Ovis aries: one gene and its partner. The protein of the gene in region 1 interacts with the protein of each later gene in a biochemical or structural test. Links are inferred from orthologs where the notes say so. Each region holds a gene or a part of one and is shown on either strand. Other genes may lie near its edges.

Evidence for each region. The genes of interacting proteins can lie anywhere in the genome.
Region 2: the proteins of CUL3 (region 1) and KCTD17 form a complex in vitro, tested with the Homo sapiens proteins (3 studies listed by BioGRID). The link is inferred for Ovis aries from reciprocal best matches to the Homo sapiens genes CUL3 and KCTD17.

What each region holds. Positions count from the first base shown.
Region 1 is NC_056055.1:226,665,200-226,672,270, reverse strand, and holds part of CUL3 (cullin-3), read left to right. Parts: intron 1-2,191; coding exon 2,192-2,420; intron 2,421-6,305; coding exon 6,306-6,451; intron 6,452-7,071. UniProt on the Homo sapiens protein: Core component of multiple cullin-RING-based BCR (BTB-CUL3-RBX1) E3 ubiquitin-protein ligase complexes which mediate the ubiquitination and subsequent proteasomal degradation of target proteins.
Region 2 is NC_056056.1:181,100,252-181,107,774, reverse strand, and holds the start of KCTD17 (BTB/POZ domain-containing protein KCTD17), read right to left. Parts: upstream 4,663-7,523; 5' UTR 4,646-4,662; coding exon 4,472-4,645; intron 3,284-4,471; coding exon 3,175-3,283; intron 868-3,174; coding exon 776-867; intron 1-775. UniProt on the Homo sapiens protein: Substrate-adapter for CUL3-RING ubiquitin ligase complexes which mediates the ubiquitination and subsequent proteasomal degradation of TCHP, a protein involved in ciliogenesis down-regulation.

The sequences.
Region 1 (7,071 bases):
GCCTTCCAGTGCAGGAATGTGGGTTCAGTCACTGGTCAGGCAGCTGATATCCCACGTGCCTCTCTGCCAAAAAACAAAACATAAAACAGAAACAGTGTTGTTAACGAATTTAATTAAACCTTTAAAAATGGTCCCCATCCAAAAAAAAAAATCTTTAACAAATTTTATGTTTATATGTTTATAATACATATAAACTAAGGAATAACCTTACGTTTTATAATATTTATATGTTACTGTAATTTGCCATAAATTCACAGGCAGTACATCACCAATGAAGTCTCATTATTCAGGCTTTTGGTAATTTACTAGTAAATATAGATTAGATAATAGGTATGATCCCATAGTGCATATATTTGTCTTAAAATCTATTGATGAGGAAATTATAAGATACAAATTTGCAGCTGTATCTACAACCCCAAACCAACTGAAAAAAGTAAGGATAAACTAGTACTGATTTGTAATGAAATAACAGTGACTGAGTACCATGACACACGAGACAGTCCTTACAGAGTCATGGTAATTGGTTATTCTTCCTGAAAGCCTCAACCATCTGAGCAGTTTGTAGTAGGAGCTTTGTAGTACTGCTGAAGTAGACTCAGTTAAAACTTTACTGTTCAATTTCAGTAATAAGCTTTTTAAAAATAAGCAGAAAGTTACAGTTACTCTACAGTAGGTCATTTTTAAGAGCCATTCAGTTCAGTTCAGTTCAGTGGCTCAGTCGTGTCCGACTCTGCGACCCCATGAATCACAGCACGCTAGGCCTCCTTATTCATCACCATCTCCCAGAGTTCACCCAGACTCACGTCCATCAAGTCAGTGATGCCATCCAGCCATCTCATCCTTTGTCGTCCCCTTCTCCTCCTGCCCCCCAGCCCCTCCCAGCATTAAGAGCCATTGGATGTATATAAATGTGGGACTCCTGAAATTTTGCTGTCACTTACAATAAACAAAAAAACATACTTGCACACTGCTGCCCACATCACCCTACCACCATCCCCGCCACGGTTTTTAAAAATCAGTTTGTAACCTATCAGGAAGATTTTTATGGCCTGTACTGGTGAGCCTGAACCATGCTTTATGAAATACTAATTTTGTGATGTAGGAAACAGTCTTTATTTCCTAATAATGCAACAACTAGTTCTGGATATTTTTGACAGTGTTTTTACATTTGCATTTGTTTTAATTTCTTTCATTACAGTGTAGAAATAAAGTTGAAAATTGTTAAGTCGCTCAGTCGTGTCCGACTCTTTGCGACCCCATGGACTGTAGCCTACCAGGCTCCTCCGTCCATGGGATTCTCCAGGCAAGAATGCTGGAGTGGGTTGCCATTTCCTTCTCCAGGGGATCTTCCCAACCCAGGGATTGAACCCAGGTCTTCTGTATTAGAGGCAGACGCTTTAACCTCTGAGTTTCCAAAATATATTACAGTGATATATGTATTAATGTAATAGTGAAGTGGTTGTCTCACCATGATTTTTGTTTGGTGTGATAATGTGTATTCTTAAAAACTTTAATTATTTCAAACTACTTTTTATTAAGAGAATGGAAAATGCTATTAAATTTGTATATCATTTATATTAACATGTCTAATATTATATAATTCTTAGGTATATTTGTTAATTTTACTATGAGGTTAAAGTTAGTAGGGTCAGCATTTAAAACTTACTGAGATTTCTCTGTAAGACTGGTATTAGCAGACATGATTAATAGTTATTGAAAAGCTCTTTCTCAGACTTTATATACATTCCTTTGAGAGTGGGAATAGGGTGGCAGGAGGACTTTAGTAACTTCCAGTATGCCAGCAAAACTGTGTGATAAATAGGATGAATCTTTTTAAGGCATAATTTTACATTAAAACAAAGAAGAATTTTTCACTCTCACTTGGGGTCAGATGCTTCATTCTGTAGTTTCAACTTTTACTGGCATGTGCTTGCTTTTTCTGCTATTCGGAATACACTGGCAAAGTTTGAAAAATGCTACTTAAGGATAATGTATTAATTTAGTTGTATGTAATGCTTTAAAGGATATCATGCTTATGATAGGAGTATATATAGACAGTGTATAAAATGTTAATAGTGCTTGGGATATTTAGTTTGGTTTATGAGAAACACTGTAGAAACCCAGTTGAAAGCAGAAGCACATTTTGCTGCTTTGTTTAAAAAAGAAAAAAAATCATGCTTTTTGTTTGCAGATGGAAAGCCAGAAATTTCTAGCAGAAAACAGTGCTTCAGTATATATAAAGAAAGTAGAAGCTAGAATTAATGAAGAAATAGAACGAGTGATGCACTGCCTTGACAAATCAACCGAAGAGCCGATTGTAAAGGTGGTTGAGAGGGAACTCATTTCCAAGCACATGAAAACTATAGTAGAAATGGAGAATTCGGGGCTAGTACATATGTTGAAAAATGGCAAGACAGAAGGTAAGTGTTAGCAATTGAAAAACAATTGAATTCTTGTAGGTCTGCCAGGTTCTCGGTTTTTTGGTTGTTTTTTTTTTTTTTTTTTTCTATTGAAGATTATGAATATCAGTTTTTAAGAAGTCATTACTTTTGATTACTTTATCACTGTTGGTACTTTGATAGAATTTTACAGTAAAGCTTTACACTTAAGGTTTCTAGATGTTGCTAGTGAATTGAATAGCTACTTTTTTCTCTCTTTAGTCTCCTCACTTTGTGTTTTTCTTAACCCAGAAGATGAGCCTGATAATGTTCATGAGGCCGGTGAGCTCCTGACCTGCTCCTTACTTTATTTTTATATGCCAGAGCATTTAGACTCTTTTTTTCATCCACACTCTCCACAGTCTGAAGTTCCAGTCTTAAATTTTTGTATGCATTCCTTTGGGGAGTTGGTTGTGATAAGGGTACCAAAATGCAAAAATTTACATGTCTTGCATGTCAGCGTGTTTAGAGGAACTCATAAGTTATAGACTGAAAAAGGAGAAAGGAGTATTGTTTACAAGTAAACATTTTGGAGATAACTAACATTTACTCTCTTTTTGACTATTTACCTTATTTTTCTAAAGTGATACTTTTTGATGAATACCCTGGGACAAATTATGAAAAACAGTCATGTCCTCATTCTTAATTTCTGAAGCTTTGCATTAAAACTATGACTTGCTAAGTCACTGATACAGTATTAAAAGGGCTTCCTAGGTAGTGCTAATGGTAAAGAATCTGCCTGCCAGTGCAGGGCACGCAAGAGATGTGGATTCAGTCCCGGCGTCAGGGAAGATCCCATGGACAGAGGATCCTGGTGGACTGTCTGTGGGGTTGGAAAGAGTCAGACACGACTGAGCAGATGAGCACACAGAGCACATGGTATTAAAAAGTAAATCTGGTGCTGGGTGAAGTCTTAGCGACATTTTAGCCACATACTTATAAAAGAAATACATACTATGACTTATGACCCTACCTTGACTCCCTACATAGAGAGTGAAACAGTTTTTTAAGTTAATAATTTAAAAGAGAAGGGAAAAGAAAGATGGTGGGAAGAGAGGTTGTTCTATTCTTCCTCTAGTGGAATCTTTGCCTTGTATTTTTAGATGATTATGTTTCTATATACGTTTTAAGTTCCAGAAAAGTTGTATGTAAATTTGTTGTCTTTATTAAGCAGAGAAGTTACTTTTTAAAACACCCTCCGATGAAGTTTTTCTGTAAAAGCAAAACAAAAGTCATTTTAAAGGATATTTTCCAAAATAAGCTACTCCTGGATGCCCATTGTCAAAGTCAGGGATTGGCAAAATTTTTTTTCTAAAAGAAATATTTTAGGGGTGTGGACCATTCAGTAAACTACCCATCTCTGCTATAATAGAAAGTAGGCATAGACAGTAACATAAATGAATAAACTTGTATTCCTATAAAACTTCGATTTTTATTTTTAACCATTTAAAATGTGAAAAGCATTCTTATTTTGTGAACTGTATAGTAACAAGCAGTGGCCTGTACTTGTTCCATGGGCTATAGTTTGATGACCCCAATCTTAATGATCTCTGGCAGATTAGGACTTTATGAAAAGCAATTTTCCTTACTTAAACAGGATGAGAATCAATTTTCTAATATATTGTTTAGTTACTGAGTTAATGCTTTCTTCTTATTCATGTTTGGTGGGGGTGGCTAAGAGTGGGGAGATTAAATGGGTTTGAAGATTAAGAGGCTAGGAAATGTTTGATGGAGAGATTATTGAGCACACCTGAATTATAGTATCTGTAGCCTGCATGGAGACTTGTGTTAAAGGCTATTAAGTATATCTTAACACATGGCAACTGCTTAATAAGTACCTAAATGATAGAGTATCAGAATAGCTACTTACCATAGTTTCTATTTAGTGCTTAATGTTCTCAGCAAGTAAGCAGCTCTCTGTGATGCTAAATTAAATTTAAAAATCATGTCTTCAGTTTTCCTGGCTACTAGAAACCTAATTGCAAAATGTCTTCATTATGCTAGGACCTGCTCTTGAACAGTATGTCAAGAATATGTCAGAGATGGAACTTCACCATTATGAAGCCAAATGTCTTATAGATCAGAAAGTGAAAGGTTTTTTTCCCACCATGAGTGGAGGATTAGTTGGATTGATAATGAAATGCATATGGTGCTATGAAATTAAGTTCAGATAGTATCATTTTATTGTTTCAGTATAAACAAATAATATTTAATTGCTTGCCACATAATTTTTCTTCTCTTTCACTTTCTCCACTATGCCATCCATTTATTTACAGTGGATTATATATAAGAAATTTTATTAGTTTATATACAGTTAAATATACAACATGTAAACAAAACTATAACAGCATAGGAACAAAGAAGACAAAATTGGAAACTATTTTGTTAGAGGTATTTGATAACAAAAGCTTACTATAGTACATATCCATAAATTTCTGTTGCATTTGTAATATTTATTTTTAACATGGGCAACTTGGTTATAATTTATACCAAATGTGAGAAACTATAAGATTTGCTCTGTGTAGATTATTTTGGACATATATTGTTGATGAGAATACTTTGTCCAAAAACTTGGCTTTTGAAAGTCATTGAAACAAATTTTGAAGCCCTTTTTATAAAAGTTGCATCCATGTATTTTTAGGATCTAAATTGCTCTTATAAATACAGACAAGGTGGGCAAATTATAGCCTGTCTGTCAGATCTGGCCCACTACCAGTTAGGCTGGAAAGAAAGTCAAAAGAGTAATATTTCGTTACACATGAAAATTATATAAGTTTTAGATCTCAGTGTCTATAAATCAAGTTTCATTGGAGTACAGTCATGACCATTCGTTTATGTGTTAGCCATGGCTTCTTTCTGGCTACAGTGGCAACATTTGAGTAGTTGGAACAAAAACCATATATGATCCATGGTTTAAAACATTTACTGTCTGATGCTTTACAGAAAACAGCCCCTGATCTAGAAAGTGCTGTTCTAACTCCATTTTTAAAAGTTCTCAGTTATAAAACCTTTTTTTATATTATTGTAAAGTTTTGACATTGTACTCTTCCAGTAAGTTCTTATTTCAGAGATGCGTTAGACATACGGGAAAGCAGTATCTTAACTCCACCTTTTATTTCTGTAAAAGGCAGTTTAGAGTTTTCATTCTAAATAAAAACAATGTAGTGAGATAAGCCAGTTTTTCAAATACAGATATTGGCTTAGATCATCTCCTGAAAAATATTAGGGATTGCTCCAAGGAAAATACTAAAACATAGGAGTTTATACTGTAAGTTTCACATGAATTTTACCATGGTGTGTAATGAAATTTATTTCTTGCCACTATTGGCATTGAACTTTTGAGATAGACATGCTTCAAAATATCTGTAAGACTTCTTGGTTTTTAAAGTTCTACTTTATTACATTAACTGTCAGTTAAACCACATTTATTTTTTTAATTGGACATACCAAACTTAAAGTTATTCTTTTGATAGTTGTTTTGTTGTATTACTAGTTTCTAAATTAGAATTATATTGGATAAATTACATAGGGACCCAAAAGTTCAGTTTTCCTTTTTTGTGACTTTGTTTCTTATGCTATTTGGACATCTCTTCCATGCAAACCAAAACTTGCTGCAACCATTTATTGATGCTTAGTATCTCATCTGTATGATATATTTTGTAAGTTGCAGTAACAACCATTAACTAGCTTCCCCCATCCCACCCCTGTTTTGTTGGAGTTTTGGTTTTTAGTAGTTTTTTTAATGTGGTCATCAAATTATCATAATGGAGCTTCTTTAAATATCACAAATCAGCATGAGCAGATATTCAGGGTTTTTTTTTTCTTAATCTTTAATGTGGCCAATTTGTGTGTTCGTTCTGATTGCAGACCTTGCTTGCATGTACAAGTTGTTTAGTCGTGTGCCAAATGGTTTGAAAACGATGTGTGAGTGTATGAGTTCCTATTTGAGGGAACAAGGTAAAGCCCTTGTTTCTGAGGAAGGAGAAGGAAAGAATCCCGTAGACTATATCCAGGTAAGTAAATACGGAAGATTCTCTTTATCATAAAGTAATTTTGTCATGCTAAAAAGATCACTTTTACAAAGTGATGTGGTATGTATTTTGACTGAATTGTTCCAGTGGTAGGTTAATATGGGTAATTATTGTAAATATTTCAGGAATTTTGGAAAGCACGTATGTTTATATCAGGGAGCCAAACTCAGCCACTTCTTTTTATGTATTAGCTTATCTGATGAAGACCTTATTTAAATAGTGTCAAGAATGAAAGTTCGTTCTTCTTCTTTGTATGCCTTAGTGTTTATATACCCTCATGTATTAGGAAAAATAATGTTTTAGTGACTTTTTGTTTCAAGATATTTTGCTTTCAAACAGTACTACGAATATATTATGCTCTCAAAATTTTCATGTTTTAGTATCAGCAGTCAGCTTTTTCTGTGTGTGTTTTTAAAGCTGATTTTCTCAGGCACACCCATTCAGTCAAGATAGAGGAAGGTAGGGAGAAACGGTGAAAAGGATCTTTGTTTCACCTTCAGTAGAGTAATACATAAGTGGAAGATAGAATACTTCTCTCACCACTGATGTTTTTAATACAGGCTTAGATATAGGCTTGAAAATAACAACGTAGAATCTGTAAG
Region 2 (7,523 bases), on another chromosome or scaffold:
TTGCGATGTGCCAGGCACTCAACATGCGTGATTTCACTTAATCCCACCTAAAACCCTAGGAAGGTTCATGGAAGCTCTGAGAGGGTTGGTTACTGGCCCAAGGTCACCCAGCTAAAGAGTTGCAGGACCAGAATTGGGACACAGGTGATACAAGGGGTAAGGAAGAAGGGCTTAGGAGGCATCCTGGGCCACTAACTGAGGCAGGTCCTCCAGGAGACAGAGCACCCCCTCTTCAAGCTCCTGGGGAGAGAAGGACAGTGGAAGACAGTGCCTCCCTACCCATCTCTCATCTTCTACCTCTCCCCCAGGGTGGGCAGAGAAGTCCACCAGCTCCTCCTGCAGACTGGCCACTTAGGTCCAGGGTCCAAGCTCAGACATGCCAGCTCCAGGGGGCCACTTGAGCCCATGAAATGGATGGTGTACTAATCCCCATTGCCCCTACAAGGACCCCTGTACCCTCATACTGACTCCATATTGCCTGTGAGGAAGGGAAGGGTGGGCAGTTCTCAGTACCTCTATATGCCCCAAAAGGAAATCAGGATCCAGAGAGTGAAGTGACTGGCCCAAGGTCACACAGCAGAGCCAAGGCAAGGACAGAACCTGATACATGTCTCCCAGTCTGGGGCTTTGCGGGGCGATCTGGGAGCTGGACAACCCCTTACAGGGCAGCTCGGCCTTCCCAAGAAAACCTAGTTCTGTCTCTCCTGACCTCCCTTCTCCCCACTCCCCACCACCCCCTGCTCTGGCCATGGATGCTGCCCCGCTGCCCCCTGACCTGTGTGACGGTGTAATCCTTTTCCTCCATCCGGTCTTTGATGATGCGGATCAGCGGGCCAATGTTGTAGAATTCCGCTTCCTCCAGGACCCCTGACACAGAGCAGCACCCACATCACTCCCACTGCCCCCATGCCCCATTCTCGCCTTGTCCCCTCCATCCCCACCCCCTGCTCATCACACTAGGGTGACGAGCCTCTCTGAGTTCAGGGGTCAGGCAAGAGGGAACACTCCCTTCTTGGGGACTCACACTCTCTATAGCAGGGCTAAGAGGCACCATCTCCCTGGTGTGCTGAGCACAGCGACCTGGGACACCTACCAGTCCCCCCGTCTGGGGCTAACCAGAGGCAGCAGGCCCATGGGACTGGACCCTAGAAGGCCACAGTGAGAGGGGCCTTGGCTGACCCCTGATTACATGCTCCCACTGATGAAGCACGTGCTAAGCAGCAGGCACCACGCCAGGCAGGTTGCACTCTTTACTGTAGTTCATTCTCAGCACGAGAAGTAGATACTCTCATCACCCCCACCGAGCAAACAGGGAAGCCAAGGGCCAGGCAAGGCAGTAGCTGTGCAACACCTCACACCCAGCATGGGGCAGAGCTGGGGTTCCCACTCAAGTGCCTCTGCCCTCCAATCCCACTAAGTGCATGATCTTTGTGCACTGACCAACCACACTTCACAGTCTGCAGAGCCTGTCCCGTGCTCATCACAAGCCCCAGGGCGTGCTTGTCCCCACGCAGGTAAGGGAGCCATCTTAGAGACTGAGCGAGTGCCTCTCTGGTGAGGGGGACAGCCCTCAGCCTTTGGACCCCCCTCAGCTCCTCAGGGCAGGTCCTTTGCACAACGGGCCTCTGGGCTCCTGCGGGACAGGACCCACATCTGATGTCCCTGGCTGTCCCCAGTGCTCACATCCACCTAACACAGAGGAGGTGGTCAGTGCGTGCTACTGCCAGGAATGCCCCCCGTGGGGCCCTACAGATGACAGACAGCAAACTCTGTATCACGGGTCCTTGGTGCCAGGCGTGGCACTAAGCGACACACTTGTATCCGCCCCTTTTATCTTCACAGCAGCTCAGCAAGGTGGGTGCTATTGTTACCCCATTCCACAGATGCAGGCATGGAGGCACAAGGGGATAAGTGACTTTCTAGGGTTCACACACTAGTCAGTTTCCTGCCAAAGCCCCTGGCCCCTTGGAGCAGGGCCCTAGTCCTGTCTGAAGGTGCTGGGAATGCCAGGGCTTTGACAAATCCAGAACCTGTAAACAGGTGTTAGCTGTGACGCTGGAGTGTTTAGCTCCCTTCCCCGTGGGAGCGGCTTTTGGGCCCAGGCCACGCCCATGGTGTCTGCTCTCCCAGGGGCCACCAGGAAAGCTGTGGGGCTCCCGGAGCCGATGCCTAGAGTGGGCTCTGATTCTGAAGCCCTGGTCCTCTGGAGAGCCACCTGGCCTCTAGACTACTGTGTCCCATAGGGGTCAGGAGGGAAGACTGTGGCCTGAGTGAGGAGGGAGGGGCTGTGTTAGATTCCTTCAGGGTACAAGCCCTGGGATTTGCGATGTCTGTTTTCCCAGAACACATCCCTAATGGAGATCGCCGCCCCACTTTATACACACAGTAGAGACTCAGAAAGGAAAAGTGACAAGTCCAAGCTGGCCTGGCTGGGTCAGCTGACCCAAAGCCACACCCTGTGCTCTAAGGAAAAGTGGGCTTGGCACCCACCTATAGTCCCTGCTCCAGGCTGCAGTTCTGCCAAGAAGCCATTCTCCCAGGCATGGCTTCCCTGCCATCTGCTGGGCCAGGAAGTGGACATTTACAGGGCCTCAGCTACCTGGCCTGGGAGGGACCACACGCCCGCTGGGGAGCAGCCTCCCCACTCCCCTTCCTCCACCCACAACCAGCACTGTGCAGCAGAGGCTGTCAGAGCTCGGGAAGAGCCACCCGTTCCACCTCCCTGCTGACTGTGAGCCCTCACCAGGCATCTGAGATACCCGATCACTCAAAGAAAGAAGCATACCTCTTCCCGTGGCCATTTCTACCCCCACCGGGCTCACCACTGGCTTCCCAGCAAGCCAGGGGAAAGGACATCCCTTGCCTCCGGCGGAGGCTACAGGCCTCACGGGCTTCCTCTCTCTTCTGCCTATGTTTCTGCCACTTCCCCAGAAGCACCACCCAGTAGAAGCACCCAGTGGAAGCGTGGGCCAGTCACCTTGGCCCTAGGCTCAGCCTGGGCAGAGGCTTTGGCATCCAGTCCTGTCTGGAACGAGAAGAAGCAGGAAACATGGAAGAAAACAGAGGTCTCCTCTGGATGGGAGAAATGGCTTTGGACCACCATGGAAGGCCCTGGCAGGCTAGAGAAGACAGGCGTAGGACGCAGGTCCTGGCCAGCCCCCTGGACCAACTTACCCTCCTCAGCCATGTCCTTGTCTAGCACCAGCTTGCCATGCCGGAGGAAGTTGAGGATGGGCCCAAAGTAGGTGGGGTCGCGGTCAATGAGGTAGGCCCCTGTCTCATCCTACAAAGGCAAGGGGCACAGGCAGTGAGAAAAGAGTGAGCCCCTCTTCCCTGCTGACCCTGCACATACCCCCACCCTTCAGTCCCAGTAAAGGACAGAGGGAGGGTGGGGGCGGGGGAATGCAGTGTTCGCTCCAAAACGGAGTGGTGTGATGGAGTAAAAGGACCTTCGGGTCAGATACAGCTAGGTTCAGATCCTGCCTCTGCCTTTTCCTGACTCTGTGACCTCGGGTCAGTGACTTGACCTCTCTGAGCCTTGCTCCTCTCCCCCACAACCGGGGAGAATTGTGAGCAGCCAGTGAAGTTTCAGTGGCACCCAGGCCAGTGTAGGGCTCAGGGATCATCCCTCTTAGAGGTTATTTCCTGAAGCCAGCCCTACACGGTCTCCAGCAGACCCCAGTTATTCTGCGGATGTTTACAAGTTTCCAAAGGAGCTGCTATCTCATTGGATACCCTCATTGGATACCGGGCAGGGAGGCTTGAGAGAGTTTCAGTGCAACTCTACAGAGAGAAGACAGGGACATCACCAGGTAAAGAGACTCACCCAAGGTCACAGCATCAGGTCAGGAAATGGGAGAGAAGGGGCCTTAGAGGTCATCGCAGGCCAGCCCCCTGGGGCTACAGACAGGAGGCTGAGCTGGAGCAGGGAAGGATCTGACCCAAGGTCATGCAGGCAGTTTGCAGCAGAACTGAGATGGGAACCCAGAAATGGTGCCCCAGGCCAGCATTCCTCCCCATGAAGCCCAGCTCAGAAGGAACCTGGGATTTCTCCACCCAGCTCCCTGTACCCCTAGGCCACCCACACCCCAAAGGGCAGGGAGAAGCAGACTCTATCTCCTGTGATGCAGGAGTCCAGTTTGGGCAGGAGGGAAGTCCCTTCGTGTCTGTCCTCCCCACAGCGCCAAAGAAATGGGAGAGACCTTATCCAATAGTCTCCTTGGTGGGGAGCCTAGGGTAGAGCTCAAAAGCTCCAAATGGCCCCAGCCTGGCGTTGTCCTGTTGCCAAGGCAATGGGCACATCCTCACTCTCTGATCCACTTCCTTCTCCCCTCCTTCGACCAGTTCTTCTTGCCTCCAGCTCTTCGGAAAGAAACCCAGCCGGGTTTCCAGCCCCGCGAGCAGGCCTGGCTGAATAGCCAGATTCCAGCGAGCGGGGATCCCCAACGGCCGCCCACCCCGTGGGCCTCACCCGGTCGGACTGCAGCTCTTCCCCCTGGCACAGGCGGCTGAGGAAGGACTTCTGCTCGCGGCACAGCGTCTGCCTGGTGGTCAGGAACACCGTGCCCCCCACGTTGAGCCGCACCCACTTGCCCCAGCCGCCCGCCCCCGCCGGCGGCGCTGCCTCACCGGCCTCCATCCTCATCGCTCTTCCCAGCGTCTGCATCCTCCGGGCAAGGAGGCTGGAGGTGGGCAGGTACCGAGCGCCGGGCATGCCGGGAGCTGTAGTCCCAGCCGCCAAGGGCGGATGCGGCGGGAGTGAGGATCTTGCCTTTCCCTAGCCCCGCCCTACTTTGTCCTTTCTGGGAGGTCTACAAACGAGGGTCTCTTAAAGATGCTCTTGGCCAAAGTGCTCTGTGTTCGGGGAAGGTCAAATTCGAGGTCACTGGGAAAATGATGAGGGATACCCCGAATCAGCAATCCTCCCGTTCTGCCTCCACATTGCTTTCCCTTTGTCCAGTCTGGGTTATCAAACAACTGACAAGAGAAGGAACTTTTCCCTCTCCCAATTTTATAGCAGCATTTACCTGTATCTGTTTTCTAATATTCTTTCATTCTGCTTTTGGCTGGCGGGGGCTGGGGAAGAAGGGAGCCGTGCTCTTTCCCCACGAAAACTCTCTTTGAGGACAACAGAGCTGGGCTTACAGTTGGCTCAGCACCTTCTATATTCCAGATGCTTTATGCATCTGTATTATTCATTGATGCTCTCAGTAGCCCTGTGAAGTTGGCGTTACTGTACCCATTTTACATAAGAGGACACAGAAGCAAAGTGACTTTCTGCATTCACACAGCTAGTGAGGGTCAGGCTGGCAGGAGCCCAGGTGGGTTTCAAGTGCATTTCCACCACCAAGGCCCGTTTCCTGCTCCGTGGGAAACATTTCTAGGGAGGAAGAGTGGAGAGGGTACCGGATGAATGTCTGGAGAGCTAGGTTTTCATTCTGGCTTTTGTAGGATGAAGTGCTGGGAGACTCTCAGTTTACTCATCTGTAATTCGGGAAGGGGAGGAGGGATTGGTTCTGTGGATGTACTTCTGAGCCAGATAACTTGGCGGGGGTGGGGGTGGGTTGCTGCTATTGTGGGTTCTGCAGGATGTGGGAAGGGGACAGCTCCTCATGTGGTTTGGGTCCTGGGAGAGAAAGGAGCAGAAGGGAAGTCACCCTCCTTTATTTATTTCATGTAGCTCGTGGGATCTTAGTTCCCTGACCAGGAATTGAATCCAAGCCCTTGGCAGTGAAAGCACCAAGTCCTAACCACTGGACCACCAGAGAATTCCTGAAAGCTGTCTTCTTTAACTTCCTTTCCTTCTCACTATTTCAGTCAGTGATCTCTGTGTCACACACTCAGGCCACACTCACTGGGCAGCCTGGCCCTGTGGTGGGGTGAGGAGGGGAAGGTTCTATTATCCCTCAGGTTCTGTCTCCGTAAACCTTTCCCCTTGGCAGGGAGTGGATCACAGCTGCTAGACTCCTGCTCCTGGGAATGTGTGTTCTCTTAAACACAAATTCGAGTGTGATCTTGAGCCACCTCCTTTCTGAATCTCAATTTTTCCTTTTGCGAAGTGGGAAGTGTCACTGAAGAACACTGTCATGAAGATTCGATTATGTTGGTAAAACAGCTGGCATAATCCATGGCTTGTAGTATACTGAATACATGAATGAATGAAACAGGATATAAGTTATGAACTGGCCTTGGATGAACAGCAGCACTCCAGGCAGCACTCCAGGCAGCACTCCAAGCGCTAGGTGAGTCCTCCACCATCGTCAGCTGAAACAAAACCAAAGCAGGGAATATGTCTTCTTCCACTTAAGGGTCATAGGCAGGGAGTAATGTGGTCAATGTGTAACTTGGGCCACTCTGGAGACTGCAGAGGAGACGCCTCAGAGCCCTGAGAGACCAGCCAGGAGGGCTCCTAGATGAGGGGTAGGGAAGCCCCAACCAAGGCAGCGTCAACCGGGAGTAGGCTTTAGTGGATACTTGGGAAACTGAAATGAAGCTTGAAGGGGCTGTGGGAAGAAAGGAGAAGGAAGGAGAAAGAGGAAGGAGGAGGGGCCATGCTGACAACCCTGGCTTCTGGCTTGAACCAGCAGTGTTTCCCTGAAGCAGGAGAAGATGGTCTGGGGAGGCATCAGGGGTGATGAGGTCAGTTTGGAGCCTGTATCTCCAGTGCCTGTGGGGCGAGAGACCATTGTCCTGCAGGTGTGATACTGAGCGGAGCAGCTTAGGCTGGAGAGGCCTGGTGGGCTGGCCTGAGCCTAGAGCAGGGAGGAGACCCCTTCAAAGAAAACCTGAAAAGTCCCAGAGCTAGAGACCCAGGAAGGCCCTCTCATGTGGTGGCCCCAGTGAATGAAGAGGACGGGACAAAGTCTGGAGGGCGAGGAGCCAGAGCCATACTCCAGAGACCAAGAAGGGGCCAGTTTGCATGGACAAGTTCACAGGAGGAATGAAAGCTGAGAAAGTGGAGCTGTAGCGTCCTGGAGCTGTGGCAACCCACGGCTCGCCTGAACCAACCTGCCCCTGCAGGTGTGACAGAGCCGAGGCCTGGAGGCAGAGAATAACTTGCACAGGGTCACTCAGCAAATGTGGAGCAGACCCCAGATTTCTTGGGCCGCCAGCCCTGACCCATCAGGGGTTGCCTCTCCCCTGCGAGGAGCACAGACCATGCTGCACACGCGGACAGCGTAGAGCTTTTAGACAAAAGAGGCATGTCATGGGACAAAATTCAGATCTCTCTTTCGGTGAGGTGAAATTCCTTACTACATTGAATTATTTCACAATAAAACTGATATTAGAAAGAAAGAAGGAAGGAAGGAAGGGCTTTCCTGGTGGCTCAGTGGTACAGAATTCCCCTGCCAATGCAGGAGGCATGGGTTTGACCCCTGGTCTGGGAGGATCCCACATGCCGCAGAGCAGCTAAGCCTGTGCCCTGCAACTGCTGAGCCTGTGCTCTAGAGCCCTGGAGCCGCAACTGCTGAAGCCCATGCACCGTAGAACCTGTGCTCCGCAACAAGAGAAGCCATCAGAAT